Saccharomyces cerevisiae S288C: one gene and its partners. Changing the gene in region 3 together with the main gene of any one other region gives a genetic interaction. Each region holds a gene or a part of one and is shown on either strand. Other genes may lie near its edges. The genes, in order: RAD27, RUD3, PMR1 and BIG1.

The links.
Region 1: mutations in PMR1 (region 3) and RAD27 together harm fitness more than expected from each alone (negative genetic interaction), as found in Saccharomyces cerevisiae (6 studies listed by BioGRID, with this or other methods).
Region 2: mutations in PMR1 (region 3) and RUD3 together harm fitness more than expected from each alone (negative genetic interaction), as found in Saccharomyces cerevisiae (7 studies listed by BioGRID, with this or other methods).
Region 4: mutations in PMR1 (region 3) and BIG1 together harm fitness more than expected from each alone (negative genetic interaction), as found in Saccharomyces cerevisiae (4 studies listed by BioGRID).

The regions. Positions count from the first base shown.
Region 1 is NC_001143.9:223,205-228,678, forward strand, and holds RAD27 (multifunctional nuclease RAD27), read right to left. Parts: upstream 2,672-5,474; coding exon 1,523-2,671; downstream 1-1,522. Other genes in the region: DNA-(apurinic or apyrimidinic site) lyase APN1, read right to left, coding at 148-1,251; DNA-binding protein ABF1, read left to right, coding at 3,366-5,474. UniProt on the Saccharomyces cerevisiae protein: Structure-specific nuclease with 5'-flap endonuclease and 5'-3' exonuclease activities involved in DNA replication and repair.
Region 2 is NC_001147.6:744,813-750,708, forward strand, and holds RUD3 (Rud3p), read right to left. Parts: upstream 4,168-5,896; coding exon 2,713-4,167; downstream 1-2,712. Other genes in the region: SAS5 (Sas5p), read right to left, coding at 1-469; SPR2 (Spr2p), read right to left, coding at 781-1,491; AIM41 (Aim41p), read right to left, coding at 1,913-2,470; RFC1 (replication factor C subunit 1), read left to right, coding at 4,489-5,896. UniProt on the Saccharomyces cerevisiae protein: Involved in the structural organization of the cis-Golgi and in vesicle targeting/fusion stages of ER to Golgi transport.
Region 3 is NC_001139.9:185,759-193,240, forward strand, and holds PMR1 (Ca(2+)/Mn(2+)-transporting P-type ATPase PMR1), read right to left. Parts: upstream 4,711-7,482; coding exon 1,858-4,710; downstream 1-1,857. Other genes in the region: SUA5 (threonylcarbamoyladenylate synthase), read left to right, coding at 301-1,581; HUR1 (Hur1p), read left to right, coding at 1,706-2,038; CUP2 (Cup2p), read left to right, coding at 5,371-6,048; YRB30 (Yrb30p), read right to left, coding at 6,220-7,482. UniProt on the Saccharomyces cerevisiae protein: This magnesium-dependent enzyme catalyzes the hydrolysis of ATP coupled with the transport of calcium. Has a role in the secretory pathway.
Region 4 is NC_001140.6:313,544-319,331, forward strand, and holds BIG1 (Big1p), read right to left. Parts: upstream 2,426-5,788; coding exon 2,316-2,425; intron 2,229-2,315; coding exon 1,331-2,228; downstream 1-1,330. Other genes in the region: histone acetyltransferase TRA1, read left to right, coding at 1-452; GEP4 (phosphatidylglycerophosphatase), read right to left, coding at 573-1,130; putative serine/threonine protein kinase KIC1, read left to right, coding at 3,029-5,788. UniProt on the Saccharomyces cerevisiae protein: Required for normal beta-1,6-glucan synthesis.

The DNA of each region.
Region 1 (5,474 bases), on a different chromosome or scaffold from region 3:
ACGCAACGCGAAACATCTATAAACCAAGTAAGTAGTTTCTATGAAATGGGCAACAGCATCTTGGATGACGAAGGGTAGCATTTAGTTACGTACGTTGAGATAATCTACAAAAATTGATTACGTATTTAAAATTCTTCTCGCTTCTCATTATTCTTTCTTAGTCTTCCTCTTCTTTGTCATTTGTGACAAGATATCATTATCGCTTGGCTCTGCAGTGGCTTTCTTCCTCTTGGTGCCCCCAGCTCGCTTCTTTTGTTTAACCTCAAACTTGTCTAACTGTTCCTTACGCGATTTAGCACCTAATTTCTGCAGCGTATCATTTTTTTCTTTATACTCCTTGTCTTCTAACAATTCGCTCTCACTCTTTGATTCCAACCACTCCATAAGTTTGATTTCATTACCATAGCCTTCATCATTTTCGTATGGAGTTTCCAAGACAATAGGGATACCCTGCAGGTATTCAGAGTGCGCGATCATTCTAAACACATCTATACCCAAATAACCTTGACCCAAGCGTTCATGCAAATCTCTATTTGCTCCTAAAGGAGCCTTGGAATCATTTAAGTGAACAGCACTTAGATATTTGAACCCTATTACATCATTGAACTCTTTCCAAAAATTGTTAAACGTTTCAGTGGTGCTGATATCGTAGCCTGCTGCAAATGTATGGCATGTATCTATGCAAACGCCGATTCTTGATTTATCTTCAATCATTCCAATAACCTCCTTCAAATCTACCAGAGAACTTCCTACTAAATTTCCAGTACCAGCCATATTTTCTAATACAATTTTAACAAATTTCGTTTCCTTAATTGCTTTGTTCAAATATGAGGCTAGTTGTTTTAACTGCAACTGATGGTCTCCTTTCAAAGTAGAACCTGGATGTAAGTTATACAGGCCTATCCCTAATTGCTCACACCTGTTCAGATCGTCCATGAATGACTCATAACTCTTTTCTGCCTTTTCCCTATCCGGATTAGCCAAATTAATAAAGTATTGGCCATGCGGTAAGACGTCCGTCAATGGGTTATAATTGTAAGTTGCACAGTTTTTCTTAAATTTATCTATTTCCTCCTGTGTATACTGCGGAGAAACCCACTTTCTTGGAGATTTTAAAAACATGGCAAACGAATTACAGCCAGTGTTAAATGCATTAGTTACACTATTAGAAATTCCACCGGCACCTGACATGTGCGCACCAAATTTGTATTTCGAGACAGCAGATCTAACAAAGCTAGGTGTCGAAGGCATTACGATGGTTCCGATATGCCAAAAGCTTATTAATGTTGCGTTTTGTGTTTCTTATTCGGAGTTTGTCATCTTATATTTACAATGATTTCCAACATGTAAAGAAATGAAGAAAAAGAAACCAGGTAAGAATGAAAAATTCCACGTTCAAGTTCCCAGAAAAACTGGCAAAAAAAGAGAAGTATTAGATGAAAAAAGTTCGTGTATACAAATATCTATGTTACATATATGCCAAGGTGAAGGACCAAAAGAAGAAAGTGGAAAAAGAACCCCCTCATCTTCTTCCCTTTGTGACTTTATTCTTATTTTTGTTCAATTTTTTATTTTCTTGTGCTCTTTTCGCCGCAGCAGCCAGCTGTTCCTTTGTCTTAGGCACCACTTGGAAGAACCCATCTAACCTACCCTGAATGCCAGATTTCAAGCCTTTTTTCAATCTTGATATACCAGATTTAACTCTTTCTTCACTGAATTTCTTATCATCACATAAATACTCGATAAGTTCCTTCTCCTTTGGTGGCGACCATTTCAAGTTTATTTCGTTACCATCTATAACTTCAGGGTCAAGAAACAGCATTCTTGCTTGTTTGTAAGGCCAGTCTTCTGGGATTTTCCATTTAGTGTTGTTTGACTCCCCAGATTCAATAAACTCCACGATTTTTTCGATGGATCCATGCGTTTTTATCAATTTTAAGGCTGTCACTGGACCAACACCTCTGATGCTTTCACAGTAGTCACAACCAAGCATTATGCAAAGATCAACAAACTGCTCTATTGTCAAGTCGAGTCCTCTCAAAACTAATTCAGTATCTATTTCGTGAATCGGTTCCTTCTTGGCCTCTGAAAAAGTCAAATGTCTCAACAAGAAGGGTGTTCTATAACAGAGTGTGTCCATATCTTCACTTGCTGCGGCATACACCTTTCCCTTCTTTGCCAACTCAGCACATTGAGCCTCAGCTTCCGTTGGCGCTATTATATATGGGATTCCCATTAGTCCTAGTAATTTTTGGGCTTCTTCATTATGCTCTTTTGAGACCTTCACCAATCTTCTTTCTTGCTTCATCTTTTCCAATTCTGTTGTTGCCTCTGCCAGTTTTTTTTCTGTTTCCACCCTTCTTGAAGACCGCTTTGTCAACTCATGAGATTTCAAATCTGGAGGTTTGCCGTCGAAGACATAACAAGGCTTGATACCGTTATCAATCATTCTCAGTGTCCTATAAAACATACCCATCAAGTGTGACGTTGTTTCACCGGCTTCATTGGTCAACTGCCCACCGTCTTGCTGTCTTACAGCAATTAAAAACTGATATAGAGACATAGAGGCATCGATGGCAACCTTTCTGCCAAAAAAGCTCTTGATATCGCTTTTCCTGATAGCAGAGGGAACATGTTCCGATATAATTGCATTCAAACCTTTAATACCCATATTTTTTCTTCCGGTGTCCGTTTCCTATTTCTTTCCAATGTATGCTGTCAACGCTTTTCATCGATGTATATAAGGAAGAATACCTCATTATAATACATCAAAACCTTCATTTGCGCGATGTTACGCGTCGCGTTTCCTATAAAAAATACATAAGCTAGTGAATAAAAGCTTTAAACGCGTTAGGGGGATCTGCAATTAAAGTAAATAAATGAAATAAATGAAATAGATGAAAAACTGGTTACACTAATTATAACGTTAATAAAACTAGTTGATAATCAAAATATTGCCATAGCTAAGCCAATAGTACAGCGTTGGCTTTCTATCATAACTTACCAGCCGGGTGCCCAATCGGGTATCTGTCACCGAAAGTCACTGTTAACGAGGTGTGATTCAGCCGGGTACTAGTCTAGCATTTTTTTTCGCCTGTTTTTTTCGTGAAAAACGAAAAGTGGCAAGCAAACTTATATCACTTTCTACTTCTTTCCCTGTTCTTTTTGTTTATTGGCAATGGCCACTACCACATCCCCATTAACGAAAGTCACCAAAGTGTGTCATTTAATACTACGGTTAGTGACAGCATTTTGTTTAGATCTCAACTAGAGAGGATTATCAACTGCTAAGCCCTTTACACGTTATCTGTGATCCTGCTGCACTAGGAAACGTTTCAAATCACCATATTTGCAATTTCACAAGGATGGACAAATTAGTCGTGAATTATTATGAATACAAGCACCCTATAATTAATAAAGACCTGGCCATTGGAGCCCATGGAGGCAAAAAATTTCCCACCTTGGGTGCTTGGTATGATGTAATTAATGAGTACGAATTTCAGACGCGTTGCCCTATTATTTTAAAGAATTCGCATAGGAACAAACATTTTACATTTGCCTGTCATTTGAAAAACTGTCCATTTAAAGTCTTGCTAAGCTATGCTGGCAATGCTGCATCCTCAGAAACCTCATCTCCTTCTGCAAATAATAATACCAACCCTCCGGGTACTCCTGATCATATTCATCATCATAGCAACAACATGAACAACGAGGACAATGATAATAACAATGGCAGTAATAATAAGGTTAGCAATGACAGTAAACTTGACTTCGTTACTGATGATCTTGAATACCATCTGGCGAACACTCATCCGGACGACACCAATGACAAAGTGGAGTCGAGAAGCAATGAGGTGAATGGGAACAATGACGATGATGCTGATGCCAACAACATTTTTAAACAGCAAGGTGTTACTATCAAGAACGACACTGAAGATGATTCGATAAATAAGGCCTCTATTGACCGGGGATTGGACGACGAGAGCGGTCCTACTCATGGTAATGACAGCGGTAACCACCGTCACAACGAGGAGGATGACGTCCATACCCAAATGACGAAAAACTATTCTGACGTAGTGAACGATGAAGACATCAACGTTGCCATTGCCAATGCCGTCGCAAATGTAGATTCTCAATCAAACAATAAGCACGATGGAAAAGACGATGATGCCACTAACAACAATGATGGCCAAGATAATAATACTAATAACGATCACAACAATAACAGCAATATCAATAACAACAATGTCGGTAGCCACGGCATTTCCTCCCACTCACCATCCTCCATACGAGACACGTCTATGAATTTAGACGTCTTCAATTCTGCTACCGATGATATACCGGGCCCATTTGTCGTTACCAAAATTGAGCCCTATCATAGTCACCCACTAGAAGATAACTTGTCACTGGGTAAATTTATCCTAACTAAGATTCCAAAGATTTTACAAAACGATTTAAAGTTTGATCAAATACTAGAAAGCTCTTACAATAATTCTAACCATACAGTGAGTAAATTTAAAGTTTCTCATTACGTGGAGGAGTCCGGTCTTTTAGACATTTTAATGCAAAGATATGGATTAACCGCCGAAGATTTCGAAAAAAGGTTACTTTCCCAAATAGCCAGACGTATAACGACGTATAAAGCAAGATTTGTTTTGAAAAAGAAAAAAATGGGCGAGTATAATGATTTACAACCTTCTTCATCTTCCAATAACAACAATAACAACGATGGTGAGCTTTCTGGCACGAACTTGAGAAGTAACTCTATCGACTACGCCAAACATCAGGAAATATCAAGTGCGGGTACCTCATCGAACACAACCAAAAATGTGAATAATAACAAGAATGACAGTAATGACGATAATAACGGCAACAATAATAATGACGCCTCAAATTTAATGGAAAGTGTGCTAGATAAAACCTCTAGTCACCGGTATCAACCCAAGAAGATGCCAAGCGTCAATAAATGGAGCAAGCCAGATCAAATAACTCATTCAGACGTGTCCATGGTTGGCCTAGATGAATCAAACGATGGCGGTAATGAAAATGTCCACCCAACCTTGGCTGAAGTAGACGCTCAAGAAGCTCGTGAAACTGCTCAGTTAGCCATAGACAAGATCAATTCTTATAAGAGGTCCATTGATGACAAGAATGGTGATGGCCATAACAATTCGTCGAGAAACGTGGTAGATGAAAACTTGATCAACGATATGGATTCAGAAGATGCTCACAAGTCCAAAAGACAGCATTTGTCAGATATCACACTGGAAGAGAGAAATGAAGACGACAAACTACCACATGAAGTGGCGGAACAGTTAAGGTTACTGTCATCGCATTTGAAAGAGGTAGAGAATCTACACCAGAATAATGATGATGACGTAGACGATGTAATGGTGGACGTGGATGTAGAATCGCAGTATAATAAGAACACAACTCATCATAATAACCATCATAGCCAACCTCATCACGATGAA
Region 2 (5,896 bases), on a different chromosome or scaffold from region 3:
GCAAATCGGCTATACGAAGAGACATTTCTTCCTCCGGAGACACTACTTTCCACGGGAGATCAAAATATTTAGATAGTTCACTATTGAGATGTGAGAATTCATGAGGCACATCAACGGTATAGTCAACTGCATATGCATCATCTTCAAACGTTAAGTCATGTTCAATGCTAAACTTTCCAGCGTTACCTATAAAAAAGCATTCTATTTTTAAGTTAAACTCTCCCCAACCGGTTTCCTTGATAAAAAATGGCAGCGAGTTCAGTCGTCTTTTGGGCTGTTTGAAGCTAGAGTGCAAATGGTAGATGCATTTAGAGAGGATGGTAGGCTCCACTTCCTTTCCTGTTGCATCTAACATGAGGAGTTCCATCTGCCACCGACGTAAGGGAAGTTCATTTCCCCGGATGTTTTGTTCCGGTATTATAACCTGTTGTGTTTTTACTCTGAAAGTGACTTCTATTGAATGATCCATAAAAGAGCGTCTATTATATGGCACCAAAAAAAAAAAAAAGGGCTTTTGGAGTCAAGAGTAAAAACAATTTAGTCTGTAGAAAAACTTGAGTTGCTGCACTTCCTCTTCACCCGAACATGGCTGTTCTAGTTTGTTGTCGTGCAACTCTCTAATGGTGATGACTTATTGATGTGGCTTTGATTTTTTCTTGCCCGTGTAACGCGACCGCGCCAGCTGTAAACGTCACTAAATAATACCATTAATTGGTCATTTGCTTATATGTTATATAAATGCTTTCTCTATCAAAACTTTGATTATATGACTGCCGAACTTTAAGGGTGAAGTAACAAGTACAGACCAAATAGAAAAGATAAGATTCCCATCGACGGCATTAAGGAGGATGATGAATTTTCGTATCCCCCAATAGTTGTAATATTTCCCGGGGTGATTGTTGGGAAAATCTCAACGCTGGTAACACCCGTGGATAAAGCTAAACTTGTCGTACTAGATAAATAAGAAATGGTGCTCGTTAATGTTGCAGTACTTGTCGGCATTTCACTATTATTGATGATGCTCATATTAGTTACTAAAATATCTTCATACGCGTAAATTTTCGGTTTCGGAATCTCTTCAAATACCTCGTCTGCCCCGACTTTCTTCTGTATGCTGTCTTCCATAATTTCATGTAGAATACTTTCAATTTGAGAAAACTTTTTGTGCTCCACTATTGTTAGAGGATCTTCCAACAGAAAATCTATAACAGATTTGGAAGCAAGGACCGTATCGGTATGTTCTTGAGAATCAACAGCTCGCGGCTCCTCCGGTAAATCTGCTAATACTAAGTATGGATTAAACTCCATTTGATTTAGCAGAGCTGGTGGTAATGAGTTTTTATCCAAATGGAAAACTAAAGGACCAGGTTCATTTTGTCCTGTTTCATCTTCTTCATACTCATCTGATGTAAAAGTAATTGAGTATTTGGTAGCAAACACTTGTGCCATAAAAAAGGCGAAGAAAAGGGAGGATAGATATAATCCTAACATTTCAATAAGGATCAAAAAAGAGAATGGGATACAAAACTTTACTTTCCTTCCTTTCGTGCTAGTTACTGGCTTGGTGTTGTTCTTTAGTTATGTGTAGCAATGTTAGCTGCTGGTTTTTTGTCTTGGATAACTACAAATACTTTCAGGAAAAGAATAATTTATACATTATACAAAAGCGGCCTCTTTTATAAACAAAGGGCAAATGACAGTTAGCAAGACATATCATGGTTGCCATGGGACACAAAAACGTAGCCACAAAAAAAAAAAAAAAGGTGAAAGGAAGCGAGCATTAATTTTTTATTTTAATATGTAACTGTGATATGTATTAACAAAGTATCTTTCATAATTTTTGACGAATATTTTTACTTCTTTTTTACTATTGAAGGTTGGGCTGTGATTCATCGCGCAGAAAACAAGGACCTCATTTGAAAATTTCCTTGAATTGCTTAACAATGCTATTTTTGATGGCAGTTGGAGATGTCTTCCATTCTGTTGGCAATGACTTCCAGTCGATTTCTCCCATGATTTCCTTAATTTGAACTTTTTTTTCACCTGCCTTTGTTTTGAGGGCGTCCAGTAATTTCTTCACATTTTGATCAATATCAAGCTCTGAAGACACTGGCAATTGGTCCATATATTTCTTTATAATGTCCATTTCACCTTGCTCTTTGGCCACCAGATCGTCCCTCTTGTTAGCAAGGAACTCATTGATCGAGTCCTTTCTTTGAGATATTAACTTGGAGTACATGTCGTACAGGGAGTACTCATCAGCGCTCTTCCCTTTTAAAGCAATTTCTTTGTTTTTTATGGCAGATAACATATTTCTGATTGCTGTCTTCTTCATCTCATCCTTGGCAATCATAGCCTTTTTCAAATCTCCTTTCAATAGGCTGACTGCAGCCGTGTAGGCTGGAGAACTGTTATAACGAATGAAGGTTAGTCTATTTGAAACAAGTGGCCTAATTGATTGTCTGAACATCTTGGAATAGTGTTATTTGCTGTATTCCCCAACTTTATCCCAAAGTCTTTTTTCTCCAGTTCATTACTTCTGTAAAAAATGTTGCAGATCCTTTTTCTTCCCTTTAATTTTGAGTCCTTCCCCCCGAAAAGTCCCAGATGCCGGGTAGATGTGATTTATATCATTTATCGTTTATAGAGTATAAATTGGGTGATGCTACACTAAGTACGTATGCTCTTCTGAACTAGACTTAGTTTGCCCGATTAGTCTTTCTCACTCTCTTTCTCGAGGTAGTTGGTCCAAAGCGATACAAAGCTTTCCGTTCTCGATACAGCGCTTGAATTCTTAGACTCATTATTCGAGATCAAGCCGGCCTGTTGTTTCTTATCTTCATCCCAGTTTAAGAAATTGGACAGTAATTCAAGAACTTCAAACTTTCTTGGGTCTGCTCTGGGTATGGACACGAAAGATATCAATAGATTGGATATCAGTTCTTTATCAACGGATTCAGAATCGCTTGATTTCTTCAACATGGCCAGTGCCTTTGTTAAATGCTCATTTAGTATAATGGCTTCGTGACGTAGTTTTCCGATCTGTAAGATGTGCTGCTTAGATTCTTCCTCATATTTTTCCTTCATAGAGGCGTCCTCCTTCATGGCTTCTAGCTGTTTTTTCATGCTTTCTAAAGCTTCTGTGTCATTGTTGTGCGTTTCTATCTCCGTGTCAAGTTGGGATCGTAAAGATTTGACTTCCTGGTCTCTCTCTCTAGCCTCTTCTTCCCTTTTGTTGTCAACTTCTTCTATCTTCAATTCCAGATCATTTAGAGAATTCTTTAATACTGCTTTCTCCTTTTCATGGGATTCCAAAGCCTGTCTCAATTCATCTCTTTCTGTTCTCAAGTCAGATATATCTTGTTTATTATTTTCTAAGATTATCATGAGTTCCTGAACTTGGAGATTTAATTGATCTTTTTCCTTCCTGTAAGTGTTAAGTTCCTTACTATGTTTTTCAATTATGTCGTGTTTTTCATCTTCCAAAGCTTCTATCCTTGATTCGTATTCCAAAAAAACCTCTTCTGTACTTTCTTGCTCCTTTTCTAGGTTTTCTAACTCTGTATTTAGGGTCACAATCGTGGATTGTAATTCAGAGTTTTCGGTCTTGGTAGCTTCAAGTTTCTTCTTCAATTTCAGATTTTGTGATTCATATTCAGTAAGCTGCTCCTGCACTTCCTCTAATTGTTTTTGTGCTTCTTTCATCTTATTAAAAATTGATTTCATAGAAGATATCTTGCTCAATAATGTGTCATACTGTGTTTTGAATTCGTCTCTTTCCTTAATAACATTTGCTAGTTCATTTTTGAAGTCTTCATTAGGCGTTTCTTGATCCTTCTTGTGGCTTAGTTCCAATTTTAAACGTTCAATTTCTTCCCTTAGTTCCTTCATCTCATCACCAGCCTTTTTGTCCTCTAAAGGATTTATGGTGTCTACAGTCAGGCCGTCATTTACTTTTTGTTTGTCTACTCCTTCAGAGAGATCTTTCCCCTCATCGTCCGGGCTTGCCACGATACCATCAGCCTCTGGATCTGTGGACATTTTTGGAGGAACGGTGACGTTTACAGAATTGATGATTTCTTCAGGTTTATTGACGGTTTCATCAACGTCCTCCACATGAGGATGACTCTTGGCCTTCTTACCTGTTTTCTTCTTATTTTTACCCATTCTAATTAAAAAAAATGCAATTGTTTGAGGGGATCAAGTGGAAAGTATACACAAGCATCTACTATATAGCTGTTTATACAAGATTTTCTTGTTCTTCATGAATGGTCTTTCTGTTTGTTTCCATTTTTCGTATCGAAATGAGCACGAAATTCAAAAAGAAGTACTGAAAAAAAAATCAACATGAGAAGGAACAGCCGATCTCTCAGCGAAAACAGTGGCTTCGTTGAATACGCTGCTTGATCCTTACACAATAAGGAATTGGGTATCTCGCAGTTAATTTTATAACTTCAAGTCACTTCATAATAAACTAAGCTGAAGAAAATGGTCAATATTTCTGATTTCTTTGGTAAAAATAAGAAATCCGTAAGATCGTCAACATCCAGACCTACGAGACAGGTGGGTTCGTCTAAACCAGAAGTTATCGACTTAGATACTGAATCTGACCAAGAATCAACCAATAAAACACCAAAGAAGATGCCTGTAAGTAATGTAATTGATGTATCAGAGACACCTGAAGGAGAAAAAAAGCTACCTCTTCCCGCTAAGAGGAAGGCCTCTTCACCAACTGTAAAGCCAGCAAGTTCAAAAAAAACCAAACCCTCCTCTAAAAGTTCAGACTCGGCTTCGAATATTACGGCTCAAGATGTACTAGATAAGATTCCATCCTTGGATCTGTCAAATGTTCATGTGAAAGAGAATGCTAAATTTGATTTCAAAAGCGCAAATTCAAATGCGGATCCAGATGAAATTGTTTCTGAAATAGGTAGTTTTCCAGAAGGAAAGCCAAATTGTTTATTAGGTCTAACAATTGTCTTCACAGGTGTTCTGCCAACCTTGGAGCGTGGTGCATCGGAAGCTTTAGCGAAAAGATACGGAGCAAGGGTTACTAAATCAATTTCAAGCAAAACTTCTGTAGTAGTCTTAGGTGATGAAGCAGGGCCAAAGAAACTAGAAAAAATCAAGCAATTGAAAATCAAAGCCATAGACGAAGAAGGCTTTAAGCAATTAATTGCTGGGATGCCTGCTGAAGGTGGTGACGGGGAAGCTGCCGAAAAAGCACGTCGAAAATTAGAAGAACAGCATAATATTGCTACCAAAGAAGCAGAATTGCTTGTTAAGAAAGAAGAGGAAAGGTCGAAGAAGCTTGCAGCCACTAGAGTTTCTGGTGGCCATCTGGAGAGAGACAATGTGGTTAGGGAAGAAGATAAATTGTGGACAGTAAAGTACGCACCAACGAATCTACAACAGGTCTGTGGTAACAAAGGAAGTGTAATGAAATTAAAAAACTGGTTGGCTAATTGGGAAAATTCAAAGAAAAATAGTTTTAAACATGCTGGTAAAGATGGCTCTGGTGTTTTCAGGGCTGCAATGTTATACGGTCCTCCTGGTATTGGGAAGACAACTGCTGCTCATTTAGTTGCACAAGAGCTTGGGTATGACATTCTTGAACAAAACGCTTCTGATGTTCGCTCTAAAACTTTACTTAATGCCGGTGTTAAAAACGCTCTTGATAACATGTCTGTAGTGGGATATTTCAAACACAACGAAGAAGCTCAAAATTTGAACGGGAAACATTTTGTCATTATCATGGATGAAGTTGATGGTATGAGCGGAGGCGATAGGGGGGGAGTTGGCCAGCTGGCACAGTTTTGTCGTAAGACGTCAACTCCATTGATTCTAATTTGTAATGAACGTAATTTACCAAAAATGAGACCATTCGATAGAGTAT
Region 3 (7,482 bases):
TACGCGCTACCGATTGCGCCAACAAGGCTATTTCGTTGAAAAATTCAGGCTTCAAAATTATTATATGTATCAAAAATATTTTTTTGAGAAATTTCAAATCATTATCTACGCTAGCCTTACTATTTTTTCACCCAGAAGATAGTAACCTCATCGCACATACCTATTGAAGCTGATAATATTTGAAGCGAGAGCTTTATTCTTCTCCTCAAATTTTTTTTTTCTTCTGCGCTGTTAACTTACCACTAAACCTGTTTCCATTTTTAATGGTAGTCCTGTTTATTATTCCATTTTTAGAATTGTATGTACCTTGGACGACATTTTTTGGCAATGACATCGAAAGCACTGTTTGATACCAAGATCTTAAAAGTTAACCCGCTATCAATCATTTTCTCCCCTGATGCGCATATAGATGGTTCCTTACCAACGATAACAGATCCTGAAACGGAAGCAGCGCTAGTTGAAGCGGCGAGGATAATAAGAGATACAGATGAGACTGTGGCTTTTCCAACCGAAACTGTTTATGGTCTTGGAGGTTCTGCTTTAAATGATAATTCAGTGCTTAGTATATACAGGGCCAAAAATAGGCCTAGTGACAATCCTTTGATTACACATGTTTCATCCATTGATCAACTTAACAGAAAGGTCTTTAATCAACCGCATCTATCAGGTACATCCTTGTTTGATAACATACCCTCAATCTATCGCCCATTAATTTCAAGCCTTTGGCCTGGCCCATTAACAATTCTTTTGCCAGTTCCATCTTCAGAGCATAGTGCATTATCAAAGTTAACGACCGCAGATCAGCCTACGTTTGCGGTACGCATACCCGCTAATCCAGTGGCTAGAGCACTGATTGCCCTGAGCGATACACCAATAGCTGCTCCTTCAGCGAATGCGTCTACTAGGCCATCTCCTACTTTAGCGTCTCATGTTTATCATGATCTAAAGGATAAAATTCCCATAATTCTTGATGGCGGAGCGTGCAAGGTTGGTGTAGAAAGTACTGTTGTTGATGGGTTATGTAATCCTCCTACGCTACTGCGACCTGGCGGTTTTACATATGAAGAAATTGTTAAATTGGGTGGTGAAGCTTGGTCTCTTTGTAAAGTTGAGAATAAGAAAACAGTTGAAAAGGGCGAAAAGGTAAGAACGCCTGGTATGAAGTATAGACACTATTCCCCTTCAGCTAAAGTTGTTTTACTAGTTCCTCATTGCGAAGGCGATGGCATTCTTAAGGGCGTTGATAGGATGGAAAGATTAAAGAGGTTAATCGAAACGGAATTAAAAGCCAACAGTAATATAAAAAAAATTGCGATTTTAACTTCCCTAAAATTACGTGATTCCGACTTACAATCTAAGATCTTTAATGAACCCGATTTTTCTTCGAAAACTTTCATCATCGAAAGACTTGGCCAATCTGGTGAAGAAATACAGACTAACTTGTTTGCAGCTTTAAGAAAAGTGGATGAAAATGATAAAGTAGACCTAATATTTGTCGAAGGTATAAATGAGGAAGGAGAAGGATTAGCTGTTATGAACAGATTGCGAAAGGCGGCTGCAAATAATTGTATACAGTTTTAAATAAAACTGTGATTAACTTTTGAAAATCATAACCACTGATTACGGAGATTTTATATCTAGTCCGGAAAAAGAAGGAAAGAATAAAATTTTATATTGCTTTGTATATACGAAAAGTCGCCCATACATGTTTATCTTAGTATCCGTTGTAAATATATGTACATATATACATCTACATATGTTCCCATTAATTAGTACATTTACCTCAATAGGGTTGGGCGTCCTCATGAAAGATAAAGGGAAGGAAGGAAAAACGATAAAAGCACAAAATGTGACATATCAAACATTTGAGAAATACGTTGAGTCTTCTTCATTCTTTTTCCTCGTCCACAATTTTCTCAATTCATCAACGATGAAAACGCTACTGCTGATGAGCAATAACAATAGTATATCAGAGATACCAAGTTTCTCAGTTTTAAAGATACTTTGGAAAAATGGTATATATATAGCGCACATTTGACCTAACAGAGACAGTCCAACGGCGTAGTTGAACATTTTGTTCGTGAAAAAGCCGATTTCGAAGATTGACTTTGTGTTATGTCTGCAGGCCAAAGCATTAAACATATCAAAAAAAACAAAACAAGTAAATGTCATAGTAGTATCTCTAGCAGTTACTTTACCATCTTCGGCCATCTCTTTAACAAAAATGTAAACTGTCCCAACGATGATACAGGCCGCGGTGGTTAGTAAACGTTTCATTACATCATGGGTCAAAATTTTATCGGTACGTTTTCTTGGAGGTTTTTTCATAACTTCATGATCAACAGGTTCCACACCTAAGGATTGAGCTGGTGGCCCATCCATTAAAATATTTATCCAAAGAATTTGCATTGCGTTCAGTGGATTGGGTAGTTTAAACGCTGTAGATAGTGCAACTAATGATAGTGCGGCAACAGAAGTAGACAATTGAAAAGTCAGGAAATTCTGAATATTATTAAAGATACCTTTACCCTCTTCAATGGCAGTTAAAATAGTACTGAAGTCATCATCAGTTAAGACCATATCTGAGGCTTCTTTGGCTACATCTGTACCAATTCTACCCATAGAAACACCAATATCTGAAAGTTTCAACGCAGGAGCGTCGTTAACACCATCACCAGTCATTGCTACCACATCACCCCTCTTTCTTAATGCACGAACAATGTTTAACTTATGCTCAGGCGTAGCACGAGCAAAAATATTAACGTGGTCGATGACATTGGCCAGTTGATCATCTGACATTTCATCTAATTTATCACCGGATAAAACGGAAAGCTTTGGATCAATAACTGGAATACCAATTTGTTTTGCAATGTTTACTGCGGTATTCTCAGAATCACCAGTGATCATAATAATATGGACACCACCTTGTAGTAATTGTTCGATGGCAAATTTAACGTTCGGTCTTGGTGGGTCATTCATACCGATTAAACCAGTAAAGGTTAAATCTTTGATTAGGTCTTCGGTTAGAGGAGTTGATGAATCAGACAAAGTTAGTTTAGCAAATCCAAAGACACGCAAACCTTCAGATGCCATAGAATTTGCGCACTCATTTATCGTAGCTTTTTGGGCTTCAGTCAACTTTTCAGTTTTTTTACCCTTTGATTTCAAATAACTTGTGGAGTACTCAAGAATTCTTTCAAATGCACCTTTAACATAAACTGTACACTTATTGTCGACAGGGTTGAGAATCTTGGTTGCCATTAATTTTCTTTTCGAGTTAAATGGAAGTTCCTGAACTTTTTGAACGGTGTTTCTGATATCAGGCATTTCAAAGTTTGCCAATTGCTCTAAAAGAGCTACATCAGTAGGATTTCCCAGAAATATGGCATGTTCTTGAGAGAAAGATGCATTATTACAGAGATTACCGATAGTTAGAGTTTCCCTAACGTCTTCAGTCAAATAGTTTTTCAAATTTCCATTAGAATTTTTAGTCTTCTTATTTTTGTCTAATGAGAGGACGTTTAGCTTATTGGACATACTGTCCAAGCACCAAAGTTTAGATACGGTCATGTGGTTTGAGGTTAGTGTACCTGTTTTGTCGGAGCAGATAACGTTGACAGAGCCTAAAGTTTCGACACTTGGTAACCTTCTCACGATGGCTTTACGCTTGGCCATTCTCAGAACACCCAATGCCAAAGTAACAGTGACAATAATTGGTAACCCTTCTGGAATAGCAGCAACCGCTAAGGATACCGATATTTGGAACATTTCTAACCAAGATCTACCTTGTATGATACCAACTAAACAAATCATACCAATAACTATGAAGCTAACCAGTGACAAGTCCTTTCCCAATTTGTCCATTGTTAACTGCAATGGAGTCTTCGGTTTTTCAATATTATTCATCATTTCAAAAACGGCACCAAAGGATGTGTTTGTACCTGTTCCTACGACGATACCCTTACCATGACCTTCCTTGACTAATGTACCCATATAAGCTATACAAGATCTCTCAGAAATCGGTACAATTGAATTAGGCTGATCGTTAAAGGAAGATTTTTCGATCGTTTGTGAGGTTTTATGTACCGGTTCATTTTCACCAGTTAAATTACTTTCATCGATGGATAAATCGATTGCTTCAATAATTCTAATGTCTGCGGGGATTCTGTCACCTATTCTGAAGTGCACTAAATCACCAGGAACCAAGGTGGAAGCCAGTACATGACTCTCTTGACCACATCTCATTAAGTGACATTCAGCAGGAACCAATTTATTCAACGCTTCTAGAGATTTTTCAGACCTATATTCTTGGACAAAACCGACAGTGACAACTATGAAAATGGCCAGTGTGATACTAACAGCATCATCAATGTTACCCATAAAAAGAGAGACCACTGCGGATCCTATTAAAAGTAGAATCATTCGATCCTCAATGAAATTTGACAAGAACTTCTTGAAAAGACTTTCATCATCTTCTACGGTTATTTCATTGGGGCCATAAAGTGATCTCCTATTGTTGGCCTCGTTAGATGATCGTAAACCACCGTTTTTGTCAGTGTCCAGTTTTTCTAGAGCTTCGTCCACGGATAAAGTACAATACTCTAAAGAAGGGCTTGGTTTCGAAAGGGCCTCTGCTGTGGCATCTAGTATTTCTCTCTCACGGTTTGAGTCCTCGTCAAGAAGACTCGCATTAAATGGATTGTCACTCATAATTATCTTATCTTTTACTTACACTTAAGCTTACGTCTGTGCTGGCCTTGCTTCGTCTTGTCTTGCCCAGTCGTAAGGATATTATTATAGTTACTAGTATTGTTATAAATGGGAATGGAAAGAACGGGGCGAGCAAACACTATTATGATGGTGTAGAAAAAGAGGTTTTTCTATTAAGTGCTTGAAGGAAGGGCTATAGTGTACGATGGCCTAGGGAACAAGATCTCGATATAACGATAGGTAGGGTCCACACTGTTAACAAAAAAAGTACTTCTTTAAATAGAGAATCTTGTCTTGATGTAACAAAATGAAAAAAAAAAAAAATGCAACTAGAATGTAGAATACAAAAGTTTAACGATCGGCTTTGCTGTTAAGTGGTTATCTAGGGATGAGCTGAACGTGCAATTGATACCAACCGATCCTTGCTAGGAACGCAACTCTTTTCACCCACCTTCCACCACTACGATCGTGAAAGAATATTTGCTAAGAAAATCGCCAAAACGAGGCGAAGTCGCCAGGGTGCGCGGGCACGCAGGGTAAGAGCCGCAAGGCCTGGTTCGGTAAGTATTAAGCTGTGGACGAAATAGCAGTAGCCATGGCGATGTAATTTATTAGACGGCGGCTTGATAAAAGAGGACTGATAATCAGTGTATTCACAGAATGGTCGTAATTAACGGGGTCAAATATGCCTGTGAAACGTGTATCAGGGGTCACAGGGCGGCGCAGTGTACTCACACTGATGGTCCGCTACAGATGATCAGACGCAAGGGAAGACCATCGACCACATGTGGCCATTGTAAAGAGCTGAGAAGAACCAAGAACTTCAACCCATCCGGTGGGTGCATGTGTGCCTCTGCACGACGGCCAGCTGTTGGCAGCAAGGAAGATGAAACACGATGTCGTTGTGATGAGGGTGAACCTTGTAAATGTCATACCAAGAGGAAAAGCAGCCGGAAATCAAAGGGAGGGTCATGCCACAGAAGGGCAAATGATGAAGCAGCGCATGTCAATGGTCTCGGTATTGCAGATCTGGACGTTCTTTTGGGCCTAAATGGTCGCTCGTCGGATGTAGACATGACAACCACATTGCCGAGTTTGAAGCCACCTCTGCAAAACGGAGAAATTAAGGCCGACAGCATTGACAATCTTGATTTGGCTTCCCTCGATCCGCTTGAGCAAAGCCCTAGTATATCTATGGAACCTGTTAGTATCAATGAAACAGGAAGCGCATATACAACTACGAACACAGCACTAAACGATATTGACATTCCATTCTCCATCAATGAGTTGAACGAGCTATACAAACAAGTATCTTCGCATAACTCACATTCACAATAATGCATCTGGACATCTATATAAATATACATATACATATATTGGCGGTTGTTTGTTCTCCCGGCAAGCTGGCAGTCGGGCCGAGATTCGGATAAATTTTTCCATTCGTATACATATACATAGATATATACAATTATAAAATTTGTCCAAGGCTGCACAGGATACGTAACCATCCTAAAGTTTTAGGTTTTTTAACTTTTTTTCTGTCTCTTCAATTGTCGAATTGCTTATTCTATCCTTTCTGGAGTTCGTATTTTCATCGTTCAAATATATAGATAACCTTTCATCACTCACTTCCAATATACTTTTCTGATCGTTACTTTGTAAGGACGTCAGCCGAATGATGTACTCCAGTAGTGTGATCGACGAATCCTTGTCCTCCAATTTATTTTCTTCTTCTTCTTCTTCCTTTCGTTCTTCTCCGTCTTTTCCTTCCTCTTCGTCCTCCTCTTCATCTTCCTCTTCATCTTCCTCTATCGCTTCATATCCGCTTACCGCATACCAAGTAATGTCATCGAGTAATCCCTTGTCTCCTTCACTGCTCTCATTTTCTTTGTCATCGCTCCGGTCAATCTTCAATACCAACACTGGAGAATCCTGTTCTTCTAATCGGAGAAGCTTACCGGAAACACTGAAAAACAGCTTCTTAATATGGTTCAGATCTATGGCAAGTTCCTGTGGTGTGTCTTCTTTGTCATCATCCTCATGATATCTACCGTCATTGAAGTCTTGTTCTATTTTCATAAAATAATCATACTTTCTGCCTGTAGAGTTCAATCTATATATCCTTGCTTTTGCACGTTTCATATCCTCTTTCCAAACAATTCCTGATTGCCCATTGTTTTCTGAAGTTAGGTTATAGAAAATAGAGAATAGTGTAACCTCAAATGTAGGCCCCACTTGAACTTTTAGAATCTCCTTGTCACCTGTTCCTTTCTCATTACTCTTCATTGCCTTTTCATACTTTCTATTGTTCTCGCTAACGAAATCGGAGGCTTTTAATAATAAACCAGGAGAAAGTTGATATGGGAGTGCGCTGTTCAAGTTGGCACCAGAAGTGGTTAAAGAAAGATTAATGAATGGAGTGATTTCTTCGATCCTCAATAGCAAGTCCTTTATATAGTTTTCTACCGCTTTAATAGCTTCATTCTGTGTTTTTGCGCTCCTGGAACCCTCAACTTTCTGCGTCATTTCGTTGATCTTCTCATCAAACCTATCAATCTCTTCTTTTAAATCCTTGGTTAACCTCAGAGTGATTTGCAAATTCGTGTTTCCCCTCGCCGCTACCAGCTTTATTAGGTCAATTGCACTGGATACAATAGCCATGCGGCTTTCCAGTTTAAATTTCAGTTGATCTATTCTTCTAGCATCATCCTTAGGAATCTGGACGACAAAGTTCGTTATTGTCTTTAGCGCATATGTGGATGCTATCGATAT
Region 4 (5,788 bases), on a different chromosome or scaffold from region 3:
GGGTGAAACCATTGCTAAAGAATCATGACTTAAGTCTTCCACCAGATTCTCCGATATTTCATAATAATGAACCAGTTCCATTCAGACTGACGCCTAATATTCAATCTTTGATAGGTGATTCTGCTTTAGAAGGTATATTTGCGGTAAATTTATTTACCATATCACGTGCATTAATTGAACCTGATAATGAACTGAACACATACTTGGCCCTATTCATCCGTGACGAGATCATATCATGGTTTAGCAACCTTCACCGGCCAATCATTGAAAATCCACAGTTACGTGAGATGGTTCAAACCAACGTTGACCTAATTATTAGAAAGGTGGCACAATTGGGCCATTTGAATTCAACACCTACAGTCACAACCCAGTTCATCCTAGACTGTATTGGCAGCGCTGTCAGTCCAAGAAACTTAGCAAGAACAGACGTGAACTTCATGCCATGGTTCTAGAGCTGATACATGGGTTAGTTTCCGGCCTTTTCTCTGTATTTAATGAAGGTAGAGAAAGCCTCAAAAAATATGTACTATATAAAAAATTAAAATGTTTTACTTTTTATTAAAGTTGCCTAATCAAAATCCCAAAAAGTTGTATAATTTTTTTTCGAACTTGGAGAGAGGATTTGCCGAAACTTTAACACCATCTCGAATCCACACCCCGTATGAACCCATTAGGTTTGCCATCAAGATGTCAGTAAAAAGCCTATCTCCAACAACAGCAACCTCTTTTGGATTTGTTATGGTTTTGTTTCTATAAAAATAATCTAATATTTCGTTGTGACAACCTGGTTTCTTTGTAGAGTGCCGCAAAACAGGTATACCTGTCTTATCTTCCAAAAGTTTTGCTTGCGAATAGTCCTTATCAGAATTGGAACCGGCGGTATTGCTAACAATCAAGAGTGCTTTGTTAGAGTATTTCGACCTTAAGGTTTCCCAGTGTTGCAAGTAATCTGGCCATATTTTGTCATCATGAGGGAAGGCGATGCAGTTGTCCTTATCCAAGACCACGGCCTTTATAGAATCGTGGATTGGTATAGGAAGATCGTTAAAAGTGGGGACAACTAGACTAGGCTTACACAGTGATGGGTTATAAAGCAACCGGAGCGTATTTAAGGTGCCACTGATGTTCATGACTAGGTAGAGGAGACGATGTAATGTAACTGCCGCCTTTCAGTTTGGCCCCATATATATATATATATAAACAGACGGATAATTATATCATATTAAATGCGATAGCATAAATTTCTCGATGCGCATTGGTAAATTGTAGCATGGCGCGAAGTCTCTCATGGATAATTTTGCAAAGAATCGATGTATATAACGAACCATAATCAAGATACTTGCTGGGATGGCTTTTTCTGGATCTCTTGCACTTTTTTGAGCAGTTGTGGTGACGTCTGTTTCACGTTGTCCTTTTTATTAGTAATCTTCTCATCTACAATAGTTTTTTTTGTGAAAAAAAACTGAATAAGAATATACCCAACCAAAATTGTGAAAATCAGCTGTAATAAACCTCTGTTATTCTCAATTAATTGTGAATCAAATATTGAGACATACTCCGAAGGTGGCTCTGAAAATCGTGGAGTATAGTCATTAAACGACAGACGAGGCACATCCAAAACTCTATTATTTTGTTCCACTTCACCCACTCTGGATTTTATGTCAAAGATATCTGGAAATATTTGGATAGGGATGATCGACTCGTGAGCCAGCGTAGTTCCTGGGTTTAACGAGGTGTAAATGACATTTTGTTCTGGCGACGGAATCTGCGCCAGTATAGTCCTCAAATACTTGTCATAATGGCGGAATGCTTCTTTACGTTCATTAGTGTCCTCTGGTAACTTAGGGTACTCTATTATAATCACTCTTTTTTCGCTATCAATAAAGGGCTGGAAATCTTCTGTATTATTACCTCGTAAGTTCAACACCTGGTCTACGTTACAATACTCCTTTACAAACTCTGCAAGATCATAGTATAAATCTTGAGGCAATAGGTCTACCTTTTCGAACTTAATCGCGGTTGAACTCCGTCTTATATATCTCTGTAACGAAACAAACTCTGTTTCAAATTCCAAGAAGTCCAATTTCCTCAGGCCTGGTTGATTAATAAACACATAAGTGTCAGCATTACATACACCTAAGAATTTCTCAGCCGCTTCAATAAAGGTGTCTCTTGGTAAAGTCACAGCCCTATCATAATCCTCTTGATACTTTAAAATACCGGGAGTTCTATCCAAAAGTACAAATATGTGTATAACATCTAGTTAGTAAGAAAAATGAAAGTTACTAAAGATTAATGTTTCTTGTTCTACATACAGTTTGTAAGAGAAGAATATTGCAGGAACATTGGTCTGGTTTTGCAATTCCTCCGAAGCACAAAAGCTTCCACACATAATAAGCAACAAATATTTCAACACAGTTTGCATCTTGCCTTGCTACTCCTAATTAGTATGCGCCTACGTTTCCTAACTACAAAACAGATAGGTATAACCTGCAACTTAACCTCCGCTGCTGATATTCTTGGCCGTAGTTAAGAGAGGTTTACATTACTACAGAGCTAACCCGTGTTGCATGATATCATCGATATAATTAAAGAATGCACATATGTCAGCGGTACTATCGCATACAATGCTCTATCAGAACTCTAGATAACGTTAGAACATATCCTCCCAGGTTTCGCCACATCTGTGGCCTCGTTACTCTATTCGTTTCACTCTTTCTTATCTATTTACAGCCCATCGAGCAACATTATCATGCCACACGTCGATCTCAGGCCGATCTGACAATCTTTAAAGGCATCAACAAGAGCAGCAGCTTGCCGACGTGGCAAAAGTCAAAGAAGAACAGAGGCAACTCGTCCTACGTGAAGCCACATACAACAAGTTAGGAACTATTAGGCGGAACCGCTTTCTAAGGAGCTTACTACTTTTAACAGTACTACTTTTAACAGTACACAGATAAAGAAACAAAAAGTATAAATTTGGGCGCCATCGACTGGCAAGCAAAACACGTATAGAGAACAGGCAGTAATGACGACGAAGCCACAAAATAGTAAGCAGGGTTTAGCCGAAGGAGAGATGGATGTGAGTTCACTTTTCAAGAGAACGGAAGTTATTGGGCGAGGGAAATTTGGTGTGGTTTATAAGGGCTATAACGTGAAGACTGGACGAGTGTATGCTATCAAAGTCTTAAATTTAGATTCTGATTCTGACGAGGTGGAGGATGTGCAGCGAGAAATTCAGTTTTTGGCCTCCTTGAAACAGATTTCCAATATCACGCGGTATTATGGGTCGTATTTGAAAGACACAAGCCTTTGGATCATAATGGAACACTGCGCTGGTGGTTCACTGCGTTCGTTGTTAAGGCCAGGCAAAATCGATGAAAAGTACATTGGGGTTATTATGAGAGAACTGCTTGTAGCATTAAAATGCATTCATAAAGATAACGTCATTCATCGAGATATCAAAGCAGCAAACGTTCTGATCACTAACGAAGGTAATGTTAAACTATGCGATTTTGGTGTCGCTGCACAAGTAAACCAAACTTCTTTACGACGTCAAACTATGGCTGGGACCCCCTACTGGATGGCTCCAGAAGTGATCATGGAAGGCGTTTATTACGACACTAAAGTAGATATATGGTCTTTAGGTATTACAACGTACGAGATTGCCACCGGAAATCCGCCATACTGCGATGTGGAGGCCCTAAGGGCAATGCAACTAATCATCAAATCGAAACCACCGAGGCTTGAGGACAGATCATACAGTACATCTTTGAAAGAATTTATTGCGCTTTGTCTTGATGAGGATCCAAAGGAGAGATTGTCAGCAGACGATCTTTTAAAATCAAAATTTATCAGGGCCCACAAGGCGACGCCAACGTCCATTTTGAAAGAACTAATATCACGATATCTACTATTTAGGGACAAGAATAAAAACAAATATAAAATAGAGGGCAGTATACCGGAAAATGAGCCATCAAAACCCAGTGAAGCTCCAAAACCATCACAAAATGGCGGGGGTGATGAAGCACAAAAGTCAATAGCATCAAATGATAATGAAATTAAGAGAGTGAACGAAGGCGATGTGGAAATGAAATGGGATTTTGATTCATTGAGTTCGTCGGATTATATTATTGAAAATAATATCAACCTCGATGCTTTGGCTGAGGACAACAACGAGTGGGCTACTGCCCAACATGACCTGTTCAACTATGCATACCCTGACGAAGATTCTTATTACTTTGACCCTACAAGTCATAATACTAGACCCTTTGTTTATCAAGGGACAACGATAGGAAAGGGCTATCCTGGTACAATAGCTCAAAATTCTACTTTGAATGCACCAGTAACAAATAACTATACGAACTCAAAATACCCTTCCAAAATGGTAGCTGGAACTACAAACACCTCTGGAACACATACGGCCGGTCCAATGACATCATCTAAGAGGCTGGAAAGTAAGGCTCCAAAACAATTACTTGAACTTTTTGAAGACAATGAAATTATTACTGCTGAAAATGATGTCAATACAGAAGCTCCTAAAATAAGCAAATCCATTTCATCTCTAAATGCTGGTAATAGTTCACGAGATGATTTCATTCCCTCAATATCCAACGAGGTCAACGGAAATATCAATAATAATAAAATGCGACCACACCTTCCACCTTTATCCAGTGGGAACAATTATTATAGCCAGAGTACACCTGCTTTGCCGCTACTCCAAACAAAATTTAACAAGACGTCAAAGGGCCCTCCAACAAGTGGATTAACTACTGCTCCAACGTCTATTGAAATAGAAATTCCTGAAGAACTACCGAATAGTGCTCTACCAACGCCTGCGAGCGCAGATCCGGTTTTAATACCAAGCACAAAGGCCAGGTCATCTACAGTGACGGCTGGCACTCCTTCGTCATCTAGCTCAATACAATATAAATCACCTTCAAACGTGCCCAGGCGGTTGACAGTCAGTAACAATAGGCCAGAACATTGCCCAAGCACCATAACAAATCAAAAATTGGGGTCCGCAGTTGCTTCTAATTCCGGAATCAGCTCCACTCCGAACAACAGTAATAACTATAACAACAACACTGATAGTGAGAACTCAAGAGGAAGCAGCGGTAGTAACACTGCAAATAGCACACAAATGGGCATAACCAATCCAGGTAATGTAACAAAGTTATCTACTCATAAGGCTTCTTCACCCTCAAGGCCACTATTTGGAGTTGGAACTTCTCCCAATAGAAAGCCTGCCGGTTCCCCAACCCAAAACATTGGTCATAATTCTACTCACACGAACCTCGCGCCTCCTCCTACGATGAAACCAATGGCCAATAGCAAAGATAACAAGGACATTCTCTTGCAACCTCTGAACAGCATACCTAGTTCTTCTACACTTAACACTATTAGTGGTAATAGCAGCAATAATTTAACCTCATCAAACTACTTTTCCAACGAAAAGGAAGGCTCAAGGGTCAATGGTGACTTTAAACGCAACAACCCAAACTTAAAACTACAAATGCCACTACCTACACCTGTTGTGAGAAATAAACTTCTTGATCCAAATACAGCAACCTCACAGAATAACAATGGCATGCCGGGGAGCGCTGGCATATCCACGAACGAAAATATTAATCAATTTGGATTTAACACAAGCAGTGCGTCCAACATCCCTGTCTCAATGACTCCAATTAGTGAGAAACACATTGATTTTGGGGGCAAGATCAAGAGAAGTCAAAGCATTTCTAACAGGAAGAACTCTTCTGCCTCGGAACACCCATTGAATATTCTT